Linked DNA regions of Rattus norvegicus. The protein of the gene in region 1 interacts with the protein of each later gene in a pairwise test. Links are inferred from orthologs where the notes say so. Each region holds a gene or a part of one and is shown in the gene's direction. Other genes may lie near its edges.

Region 1 (3,748 bases):
AATGTAGCCAACTGGACATGAGCAGGAGGGGATGAAATTCCAGTTGATTGAGATGGTGAAGCTGAGGGGTGGAGCAGCCTGAGGAAGAGGACGAGGCTGGAACGTGTTCAGTCTGAAGTGCCCAACAGATGTCTAAATTAAGGCAGCGAACCAGCAAGTGGGTGTGCAAAACAATCGCTGGACTGCAGATAGATGACTGGAAGCTTGTAACTTCATTGCTCCAAAGAAAGAGTCGAAATGAGTTTAAATAAGCAAACACACAGGGAGAAATTTTTATTGTATAGAAACAGAGAATCTACTTTTTCAAAGAAAAGCAGTTTGGGGTCACTGATGACTAGTAGGGTTAGGGAACTTACTAGAAACTTAGTAGTAAATGCCTTTGCTACAATCACCAAAGCCTTCCATACTTTGTAAGTTCTGCAGATCTGATCCTGTCCAGTACTGGATGACTTGTTACCACACCAATGTTTACTTAACCCACCCACCAGGAAGAGAGAAGAGCAGCGACCACCTAACTGCTGCTCTCCAGCAGTCTCTACCAACTCACCACTTCCACAACCTCTGCAGTCCGCCCCGGACAGGACAGTCATTAGCAGGTTCTGTAGTTCTCAAATTGCGTTTGGTGATTTGGTTCTTTAAAGGCACACCTGCAGCCAAAGGGAAATAACTGCCTAACTATGGGGCGGGAGAGGCTATCAGAAATAGCTGCAATCTGTGTGGTATGACTTGATGAAGGGGGTGGGGGATTCTCTCTTCAGATTCCTGAAATTCCACCATTATTATGGAAGATGCAAGAAAAATGCCTAACTTAACTTTGGATGGGCAGTAATCCGGAGAAATAAGAAACCGTAGATGAGACAAGAAGGAGATGAGTTAAAAGACTAGCACATTACACACGCACGCACACACATGCGTGCATACATGTACACATGCAGCACGCACACATGCTCACATGCAACATGCGCGCGCACACACACACACACACACACACACAGGGTGGGGGGAACGGCACATACCCCAGGATGGCATATATTTTGTTAGGATGAGTTCCACTTGGTCCACTCCTAACACCTAGCACCTGGTAGGCCCAGAATGCATTCATTTTCACCTTTCACCATTTGAGAAAGCAGACAGAACGCACCTCCCCTCCAAAAATAAAAATCCGAGATGAAAAATAAAGGACCAGTTCTGTTAATAGCCTTAATTTACTCTCCCAGGAATCACTTGTTGAGATAAAAAGGAATTTAAGCCATTCCTGTAGAGCCTAAAAGCTCGACGGGAGTGATATTTAGACAGCTCTTGTATCTCAAATTCCTGTGAATCAGGGGACCAAGGGGCCTACTGCAGAAGACAGCTGGGCCCCCAGACCCCAAGCCAAGAGGCGCGCCTTCCCGCATGGTTGGAAGCCTGGGCAGGGCGCTTGCGCCTCCCTCTCTCTCCTCCGCCCCCCTTCGCCCTACTTCTCCTCCCTTTCTCCTCCTCCTGTGGCTGCTGCTGCTGCCAGACCTCGCCAGTTCAGACCCACCAGACTGCCCTCCCCTGCGCACTCCTTCGCTGCCGGGGCTGGATTGCCGCGCGGCTCCCCGCAGGTAGGAGCCCCCAGCCAAGGTCGCAGAAGTGCATTGTACCGGCAGGGACTGTACCGGGAAGTGTGGTGGGTTGACCCAAGAACTGTCCCTGACTGTGCAACTGGGCAGAGAAGATGGAGGTGGAGGTGCGGGTCTGGGATAGCAATCTGTCAGTTTGTGCTAGTACTTGGGTGACATTTGTTGGGATGGGCAGAGTATGCGAGCTGATTCTCAACACAGAGAGTTTTGCTGGTGACCATGGTCTCTAGGTTCAGCGACTGATGTACTTGAAAGGCACCTGGATTGCCCAGAGGCTGGCTAAAAGTTAAAGGGCTCAGCAATTCCTGCTGGCAGGCGCCTAGTAGCTTGCATCTAAGAATGCTGAGCTCACTGCCCTGCAGACACCAGGCTAGGCACCTCAAAATTGGTACCCAGTGCTGCAAAGCGGTCTGAAGTCCGACCTTAGACAGCCTAGAGCCTATGCATAGCACATTTTGAGACCTGAGAACGATGGAACAAGGGATCAGCGACTTTGAGCTGCTGGTCTCCGAAGTCCTGAGCTTGGAAACAAAGTTGTACGTGAGCGCGCGCGGATGGAAATGGAGCTTTAAGGGTGGGGACTAGAGAAGTCACCCTGCGGTGAGTGTGAATCCCTGTAGGGTATTCTATCAGGAACTAAGAGATCGCTCTTCCAGTTTTGTTTGGGTATTTTGAACTTTTCTTAAAGGGCAATAAAGTCTGCGGCCACGTGACTGTACTGGTTTGCAGGTATCTTTTGCTGAGCTGGGCACGGAACTTCAGCTAGAGGTGAGCCTTGCATGGGCACTCTACAGTTTCCAAAAACAGACAGATGCTGCGGCCCTATTTCCACTTCCGAGGGGACAAAGGGATGGAAATGATCACATTCTCTATCCCCTTTGACTACTGTTGTTTCCTGGAGCCTAATGAGTAGTATAAACACACGCCGAACAACCCTGGTACAGGATGGTTGGAATGAAGTAATACAGTTCTGCAGTAGCTTCTTCTCCTGTCTTGCTTATTTGTTGGCTGGGGTGGGGGTGAGATAGCAGACTGGAAATTAGGTATCTTGGGCTTCCCACACTCCTTTTTTTTTTTGCCTGTTTCTTCACTGATAAAGTTTGGATTTTCTGTGTAGCTAATACTAAACGTCTCTTTGTCCCATTTCCCTTAGAGAATCACGATGTTGCAAACAGTTTTCCTAACTATGCTGACTCTGGCTCTGGTCAAGTCACAGGTCACGGAGGAAACCATTACATACACGGTAAGAGGTGATGGAATTGTATTGGAGTGTATTGAGTGGTAGTCTATGATACAAGACTTGACCAGTTTCTGCCAGGGTAAGTAGGCAGTACTCTGTGAAGCAAAATAAATTAAACAACACTTTAAGATGATTCAGATTTAAGATTCCTGATAAATTGCTCTGGGTCCTTTCAAAGGTGCGTTTAGCTCACCAGCTGGGGTAGGAATCAAACTAGAATGGTTTGTACAAAGCCAAAAATTGACTCTATTAAAATTCAAATCTATGTAAGCTGCATGTTTCTAACCACTCAATGAATTGATGGGTTTGAGGACTCTGGATGCCTGGGTACATTCAGATGCAATTGGTTCGTGCAGAGTAACACTCAGATCAAATAAAAGTGTATTTTATAAGTTCTCATCTGTGCCTATCCCCGTGAAGTGCTCCTTCTCGGATTCATGAAGGCTATCTATTCATGTAGGAATACTACAGATAGTTTACCTGTCACTGGGAGACAGCATTTGCTAAAGTAGATTTAAAACACACTGTGTGCATCCTGGTCTTGCAACTTCTATCTGCATCTCTGGCAATTTTCAGTCACATTTGGTCAGTTAGTTGCATCAGTATAACCAATGTTGAATAAAATATTTAAAATATCATCTGACCCCTCCCACTGCCCAAAATATACCTGACAGTAGGGGGCAAAGCAGGGCTTACCTGACTGGGGTGAGGCCAGTTCCTCTGTGTTGTTTTCTAACTCAAGGTAAGTGTTCTCAGATGAATGACATTTGTCCCGGGTGAGCATATGGAAAACACATTTTCCCACTTCTTTCCAATTCTTAAAATTAAGTAATCCTATTCAAAAGAATGCAAATGTTTTTAGAGTAAAACTCAGAAGTGAGCTAATATCAATTACTAATAA
Region 2 (3,648 bases), on another chromosome or scaffold:
GGAAGGGTTCGATGAGAGACAAAGCCAAGGTACGTTCAAATGAATGCCTTCTAGTTGTCCAGTGCCTGATACGGATGCTATGCAAGCAAACATTGGGAGGTTTATTTGGGAGCTGTTGAGATACAGTGTCCCACTGTGTATCCAGGCTGGCCTGGAACTTGCTGTAAAGACCAGGCTGGTATCAAAGATCTGCCTGCCTCTGCCTCCCATGTGCTAGGGTTAAAGACATGCACCACTGTGCCCCACCCCCACAGCATACAATGACTGATGCAAGCTTTCATTGCATGTTAGTACTCACTGGCACTGTTGGAAAGAGCCTAGGATATGTCCTAATGGTTCCCTTCCCCCTTTTAATGTGTTTATTTTATGTATATGGTTGTTTTGTGTGCATTTACATCTACACACCAGAAGAGAGCATCAGATCCCACAGGGCTACAGTTATAGACAGAAGCCATCATGAGGGTTCTGGGAATTGAACTCAGTGCTATTTACCATTAAGCTATCTGTCTCTCCAGCATTTTTGTTTCTGTTTTGTTTTTTTGTTTTTTTCTTTTGACTGCATTATGATATTATGGTATAATTAAGTAGCATTGTTGGCGTTGGTAAGACTGCCTCTTGAAATTTGAAATGAGAACTTAGTAAACTTAACCATATGGAAGACATTAAGGTTTATTTATTTATTATATATGAGTACACTGTAGCTGTCCTCAGACACACACCAGAAGAGGGCATCGGGTTCCATTACAAATGGTTGTGAGCCACCATGTGGTTGCTGGGAATTGAACTCAGGACCTCTGGAAGAGCAGTCAGTGCTCCTAACCACTGAGCCATCTCTCCAGCCCCAATGGAAGACATTAAAATGTGAGTAGTGCACCTTTTTTCCCAGTGACAGGGAATACGTGTTCAATGCTGGTGAGTTTGGGGTTAGATCATTTGAAATCTAGCCAACAGGAATGTAAGACCTACTAAAATGATAGATTCCAAAGTTAAACATGACTTATCCTGACAAAGAAAACCTATTTAAGGGTTTTTATTTTTTATTTTCCATTCCACAGCACTCTACCCAGTGTGCAATCAATTGACAAGAAACTTTTAGCACATGTAATAGTTTACCCTTAGATAAGACTTAACTGATAAATCTAGAAAAATATTTTTTCCTTTTTTTTTTTTTGAGCTGGGGACTGAACCCAGGGCCTTGCGCTTGCTAGGCTAGTGCCTTACCACTGAGCTAAATCCCCAACCCCTAGAAAAATATTTTTGAGGGCCTAACTTTTAGGTAGTTTAATTGATAGGTCTTATTTTCCTCATCTTTTTCTTTTGTCCTTTACCTTTCACACTGGATACATAGAACGAGTCTGAAGTGTGTTATTTTTGTTAATGAGATTTCTAAAAGATTTTCTTGTCTGTCCTGACTTTGTCCCTTCCTTGGAACTCCTGGACAGTAAACACTTTAGCAAGGCCAGTGGTGATAAAGAGTACTAATGAATTTAAAGACTAGTGCTTGGCCATGAGTGCATACGTGCATTCATACACTAAATACTGAGCAAACAACTGTTAACCTGAGTGGATTCTAAAATTAAGTTTTAATTTACTGCAGGGAACACTTCAGTGGTTTAAGGAAACAGGCAACCAAGTAGCTTAGTTAGGATTTTATTCCTGTGAAGAGACACCATGACTAAGGCAACTCATAAAAGAAAACATTTAATTGGGGCTGGCTTACAGTTTCAGAGGTGCAGTCCATTATCATCTTGGGAAGCATGGCCGTGTGTAGGCAGACGTGGTGCTGGAGATGGAGCTGAGAGTTCTACATCTTAGGAGACTCTGTTCTACACTGGGAGGAGCTTGAGCACTAGAAACCCTCAAAGCCCACCTACACAGTGACATACTTCCTCTTAGAAGGTTATCCCTAGGACTGACCCTGGGCTCCAACTGCATAGGTAGCAGTGAATAACCTTGTTGGGGCACCAGTGGAAGGGGAAGCCCTTGGTTCTGCCAAGGTTAGACCCCCCCAGTGTAGGGGATTGTGTGTGGGGGTGGTGCAGTAAGGGGGAATGGATGGGGAGGGGAACACCCTTATCGAAGGGGAGTGGGAGGGATTAGGGGGATGATGGACAGGAAACCAGGAAAGTGAATAACATTTGAAATGTGAATAAGAAATACCCAATTTAATAAAAATGGGGGCGGGTTGGGGATTTAGCTCAGTAGTAGAGCGCTTGCCTAGGAAGCGCAAGGCCCTGGGTTCGGTCCCCAGCTCCAAAAAAAAGAACCAAAAAAAAAAAAAAAAAATGGGGGGGAGTCATACCTATCCCAAAAAGGCCACACCTCTTAATAGTACCCATTGGCCAAGCATATTTAAATCACTACATCAGTTACAGTTTTAACAGGTAGTATCAGTTCTAGGACTTGCTTAAGGGTTTTGTTTTGTTTTTTAAGCTATTCTCTTTGACTTACATGTGAAGATACTGTATTTGTTTAGTCTGTATATGAGTTGATATTTCTTTGCTTGTTCCCATAGGAGGAAGAGTTGCGCAAGGGTGGAGACCCCAAATATGCCCATTTAAATATGGATCTGCATGTCTTCATTGAAGTCTTTGGACCCCCATGTGAAGCTTATGCTCTTATGGCCCATGCTATGGAAGAAGTCAAGAAATTTCTAGTACCAGTAAGGAAATACATATTCTCTATCCTCTAAGCAGGGAGAAAGTAAGATTGTAATGTTGGAGAGGCTGTGGTTCTTGACCAGGGTCTGTGCTTCTGTTTACTTTGCCAAGCTTCTCCCACTACTCATTTCTCATTCTCAAAGCATTGTACTCCAAGGCCTCCATGTCTAATGTGGCTTCATTAATATGTGCTACTATCTGTTGTCAGTCTCTTGGGTCCTTGATGTGTTAACAATTTGGTTAACAGATTTAATAAGGTCTTCATTTAATTCATTCTTCTGGTACTACTGTGGAACCAGGAGATGGTATTAGGAAAACGACCTAAGGGTAGGTCCTCAGTTAAGGAGCATGTGTGCTAGACTTTTCAGTCTAGAGTTAACAGCCGGAAACTTAGAGCACCCAGTGCTAATGAGCTAATTTCTACTGAGGCAATGAAGGGAGCTTCCGGTGGAGATTTCTTACTCAGAGTCTGGTTCAGAAGAGCTGTATGGTACAGGCATGACTATTGATGGCATTTAATTTTCTCTGGTTTTTGTGGTTGTTGGTTTTTGTTTTGTTTGAGATAGGGTCTCATTGTACATCTCTGCCTGGCCTAGAGCTCACTGTATAGACCAGGCTGGTCTCCAGCTTACAGAGGTCTGCCTGCCTCTGCCTCCCAAGTGCTGTGATTAGTGATGTGTTCCACCATGCTTAGAAAACGGTGTAGATTCCTAAGAGTCACCTGGTTATAGAACAGGTTAAGTGTCAATTGTGTGAACTCTCCTTTAGTGTTTGGGAATCCCCCCTCCCCTCAGATTTTGGAGTTTTTCCAAATACATAATGAAGTCTCTGGAGACTGGACTCTAGTGTAGGTGACGAGTTCTAGGTGGTTTGGCTTGTCTTGAGAAAGTTTGTGTATAAAGATAGGAGTGGTCAAGGGAGAGCTAGGAAGGAAGCACCTTCTGAAGAACTTCATTAGTGAGGGTCTGCTGTCAAGTCTTTCTTCAAA
Region 3 (3,748 bases), on another chromosome or scaffold:
GAAGAAACAGACTTGTAGTTCTACACTGGAATGTAAATAAGGGAAGGGCGGGCCGCCAGCATTCGGGCCTACGGATTGGTCAGCAGTATTAGTCCCGCGCTGTGGGTATTACCCGGAGCAGGAGCTCAGACCCCAACCTGGAGCCGAGGGTCGGGTACCTCGGGCGCTGCAAAGTCCCCAAGTGAGAACGACAGGATGGGGAGGACGAGCAGAAGCGAAAGAGACTGGCAAAGGACCTGACACTGAGTAGAGGCAAGCGCCGGTTAGCACAGCGGGCGGCATTATCCTCTGGAACATTGCTTGTGTCACCGTGGGGTGCACCGACTCTGCCTTAAGCTAAGTGGCATGCAGACCTGGCTCCCCACTATACAACGTTCCTACGCTTCTAACCCCAGACACGCCGCGGCTAGCCGCCCCTCCGTTGCTCCTCCCGCGGGAGTCGCTTTTCCACCGGTGTTCTTCACTTCCTTCTCTCCGATCCTTCCTCATACACTCTGCAATTGCCCTTTTCTTTTGATAACCACATTATTTTGGTGGTTTGGTTTTTTGATTGTTTTTAGATAGGTCTGCCCGTTTCTGCCTCTCGAGTGCTGAAATTTAAAAAAGCGTGCGTTACTATGCCCGGCTAACCACGTACATTATTTTGACCATCCAAGTCGTACTTCTCTTTCCTTATTTCCCGTGGAAGATGAGCATCAGGAAGATGACCGCGAGAATCGTCTTCCCCAACTGACTAAGCGGCCAGGAGCCGGCGCTCCCTCTTTTATCACAGTACGGGAACAAGAGTGTAAGGAGAAAGGTTTACGCGCCGGCCAAGCCACACCCCACTCCCCACCCCCGCCCGCCAGGAAGTCGGGCTAGAGAGAAGGGCTCAAAAGGAGGATACTGCTTAGTTAGCTAGCATCGCTGCTCCAAGACAAGCCGCTCAGCGGCCACAGCCGGGTTGCTCCACCTTAAGCCGGAGGCCAGCCCCGCGCCTGTACACACCCTAGGCTCGGCTGTTCTCCCAGCATTCCTCACGCGTGGACGCTGGGCTTCCGGACCTGGGCGGAGTCCCCGGGTTTGGCCGATTGCGTCTTCCCAGCCCAAGTCTTCTAGCACCCCGTGCCAGGGGCCATGGAGCCCCGGGCAGTTGCGGATGCCTTGGAGACGGGAGAGGAAGATGCGGTGACAGAAGCTCTGCGGTCGTTTAACCGAGAGGTGAGAGGCATCCAGCTGCCGAGGAAATTGCAGGAAGTGAGGAAGCAGCCGGTTGCTCGCCACTCGGCTGGGGTGTGCGTGCGAGTGTGGCAGGGAGCAGGGCGGTGGGTGGTGGGCTGGGCCACGGCGGTGCCTCTGTGGTAGTCAGGTGTATGGGTGGCGAGGGTGGGCCTTGCTTTACGTACACAGCGATGGCTGCTGCTTCAGAGGTAGAAGCAGACCTGCTGCTTCTCGAGGAGCACAGGTCCTACCTGCGTGTGGAACTGAGCTTCCTGGGTCTCCCTGCAGCATTCCCAGAGCTTCACCTTCGATGATGCACAGCAGGAGGACAGGAAGGTAGGTGTCAGCCCAAGGGGGTTCCTAGGGCAAGCACGGGCTGCCCCAAGAAGAGGGCCTAGTGGAACCATTTTTGTCCCTTCCCACAGAGACTCGCAAAGCTGCTGGTCTCCGTACTGGAGCAGGGCTTGTCACCAAAACACCGTGTCACCTGGCTGCAGACTATCCGAATCCTATCCCGAGACCGCAGCTGCCTGGACTCATTTGCTAGCCGCCAGAGTTTACACGCACTAGCCTGCTATGCCGACATTGCCATCTCAGAGGAGCCCATCCCACAGCCCCCAGACATGGATGTCCTCCTCGAGTCTCTCAAATGCCTGTGTAATCTTGTGCTCAGCAGTCCTACAGCACAGATGCTAGCAGCAGAGGCTCGACTGGTGGTGAGGCTAGCGGAACGTGTGGGACTGTACCGCAAAAGGAGCTATCCCCACGAAGTCCAGTTCTTTGACTTAAGGCTCCTTTTCCTGCTAACAGCCCTTCGCACTGATGTGCGCCAGCAGCTGTTTCAGGAGCTGCATGGCGTGCGCCTGCTGACCGATGCGCTGGAACTGACATTGGGTGTGGCCCCCAAAGAAAACCCTCTGGTGATACTTCCAGCCCAAGAGACAGAGCGGGCCATGGAAATCCTCAAAGTGCTCTTTAACATCACCTACGACTCTGTTAAGAGGGAGGTTGATGAGGTAGGTTGTAGTCTGAAGTCAATGGGTGGGACTCAGCTCAGCTGGGGCATTTTGTGGGTTTGCTTCCCTGTGTGCCTCAAGTTGCAGGGTGTCGGATATGGCAAGGACTAGAGGACAATCTAGGCAGGAACTCAAGGTTTCTGAGCTGTGTTGTGCATGGGGCTGGGGACGGGTATTCTCCATAATGCTTCAGGTGACCAAGTGTGCTGTGGACAGGGCCTAGTGATCACCATGTGGCCTTGGGTCATAAGAATAGGGTCTTATTCTCACGGGAGCCCCTTTCCGTCTTTGGCTAGGAGGACGCTGCCCTTTACCGGTACCTGGGGACCCTTCTGCGGCACTGTGTGATGGCTGATGCTGCTGGAGACCGCACAGAGGAGTTCCATGGGTGAGGAGCAGGACTTACTATGTTGGGGATGGCAGGAGTTGCCTAGGTATGGGTACAGAAGTCCTTAACCCTAGCTGTGACTCAAGCACCTGGGAGCCCGGGCCCCACCTTTGAGTGTGACATCATGGGGAACGGGATCCCGGTGTGTTTTCAGAGAGCCTAGGGAACTCAGGGTATGACTAAGAAGAGTTTTGAACTTAGAGACAGGGCCTTAGGTGGAGGCCGCATGGTCTCTTGCTGGTGCCTCAGCCAGTCTCTCGAAACTGAGAGATTGCTTGGCATCTCAGCTCAGACAGAATGGTGCAGATAGAGTCTACAGTGTTTCCCCACCAAACTCGAGTTGGGGTACCAACTGCCCTTGCCTCAGTGCTATCCTTCGGGCCCACATATCATGTGTACCCCAGGAGAAGGGCCAGGGATTGTATCTGTGCTAAATATGGTTACTGTGTCAAGGCCTCTGTCTGTCCCCAGCCACACCGTGAATCTCCTGGGGAACCTGCCCCTCAAATGTTTGGATGTCCTTCTCGCTCTGGAGCTACACGAAGGATCCTTAGAGTTTATGGGAGTTAATATGGATGTGATCAATGCCCTCCTTGCCTTCCTAGAGAAGCGTCTGCACCAGGTAGGAGGGGGACCTGCTATGTGGATGCCCAGGGGCTTGGGTACCAGTTATGGCTACTGTTTCTGCACCATTGGTACTGGCAAGTAGAGCTCAGCTTGATGGTATATCCAGGACAGGTCTTCTGATTCTCCGTGGTATAGCTAGATGGTGGCCGCTCAGTCAGGTCCTCTCAGAAGCTTGCGGACACACCATGTGTGTGAACCCTGCTGCTGCTGATTACCAAAGAAAAACAAGCCTCTCAGGGTCTACTAAGGTGACAGTTACCTTTTAGGTCTCTGTGGTCCTGTTAAGTGGTTCTCAGAAGCCTTTGGTTCTTGCTTGTGACCCTCAGCCTCCAACTGTTTCTATATATAGGCAGCCAGAGGTGACATCAGTTTTGTCCCTCTGCATTTTTTATTTTTTATGTTTTTTTTTTTTTTTTTTGAGACAGTAGCCCTGGCTGTCCTACAACTCACTCTGTAGACCAGGCTGGCCTCAGACTCACAGAGATCTGTCTGCCTCTGCCCCGAGTGTTAGAATTAA

What was found.
Region 2: the proteins of Efemp1 (region 1) and Khdrbs1 interact in a two-hybrid assay, tested with the Homo sapiens proteins (2 studies listed by BioGRID and IntAct). The link is inferred for Rattus norvegicus from reciprocal best matches to the Homo sapiens genes EFEMP1 and KHDRBS1.
Region 3: the proteins of Efemp1 (region 1) and Ric8a interact in binary tests that used the Homo sapiens proteins (3 or more experiments, as listed by UniProt). The link is inferred for Rattus norvegicus from reciprocal best matches to the Homo sapiens genes EFEMP1 and RIC8A.

Annotation. Positions count from the first base shown.
Region 1 is NC_086032.1:106,810,332-106,814,079, forward strand, and holds the start of Efemp1 (EGF-containing fibulin-like extracellular matrix protein 1 precursor), read left to right. Parts: upstream 1-1,532; 5' UTR 1,533-1,589; exon of another isoform or gene 1,590-1,654; intron 1,655-1,746; exon of another isoform or gene 1,747-2,207; intron 2,208-2,295; exon of another isoform or gene 2,296-2,336; 5' UTR 2,337-2,375; intron 2,376-2,760; 5' UTR 2,761-2,769; coding exon 2,770-2,850; intron 2,851-3,748. UniProt on the Homo sapiens protein: Binds EGFR, the EGF receptor, inducing EGFR autophosphorylation and the activation of downstream signaling pathways. May play a role in cell adhesion and migration. May function as a negative regulator of chondrocyte differentiation.
Region 2 is NC_086023.1:147,356,443-147,360,090, reverse strand, and holds part of Khdrbs1 (KH domain-containing, RNA-binding, signal transduction-associated protein 1), read left to right. Parts: coding exon 1-29; intron 30-2,515; coding exon 2,516-2,662; intron 2,663-3,648. UniProt on the Homo sapiens protein: Recruited and tyrosine phosphorylated by several receptor systems, for example the T-cell, leptin and insulin receptors. Once phosphorylated, functions as an adapter protein in signal transduction cascades by binding to SH2 and SH3 domain-containing proteins.
Region 3 is NC_086019.1:205,363,911-205,367,658, forward strand, and holds the start of Ric8a (synembryn-A), read left to right. Parts: upstream 1-885; 5' UTR 886-1,116; coding exon 1,117-1,200; intron 1,201-1,389; exon of another isoform or gene 1,390-1,488; coding exon 1,489-1,536; intron 1,537-1,625; coding exon 1,626-2,216; intron 2,217-2,512; coding exon 2,513-2,604; intron 2,605-3,075; coding exon 3,076-3,226; intron 3,227-3,748.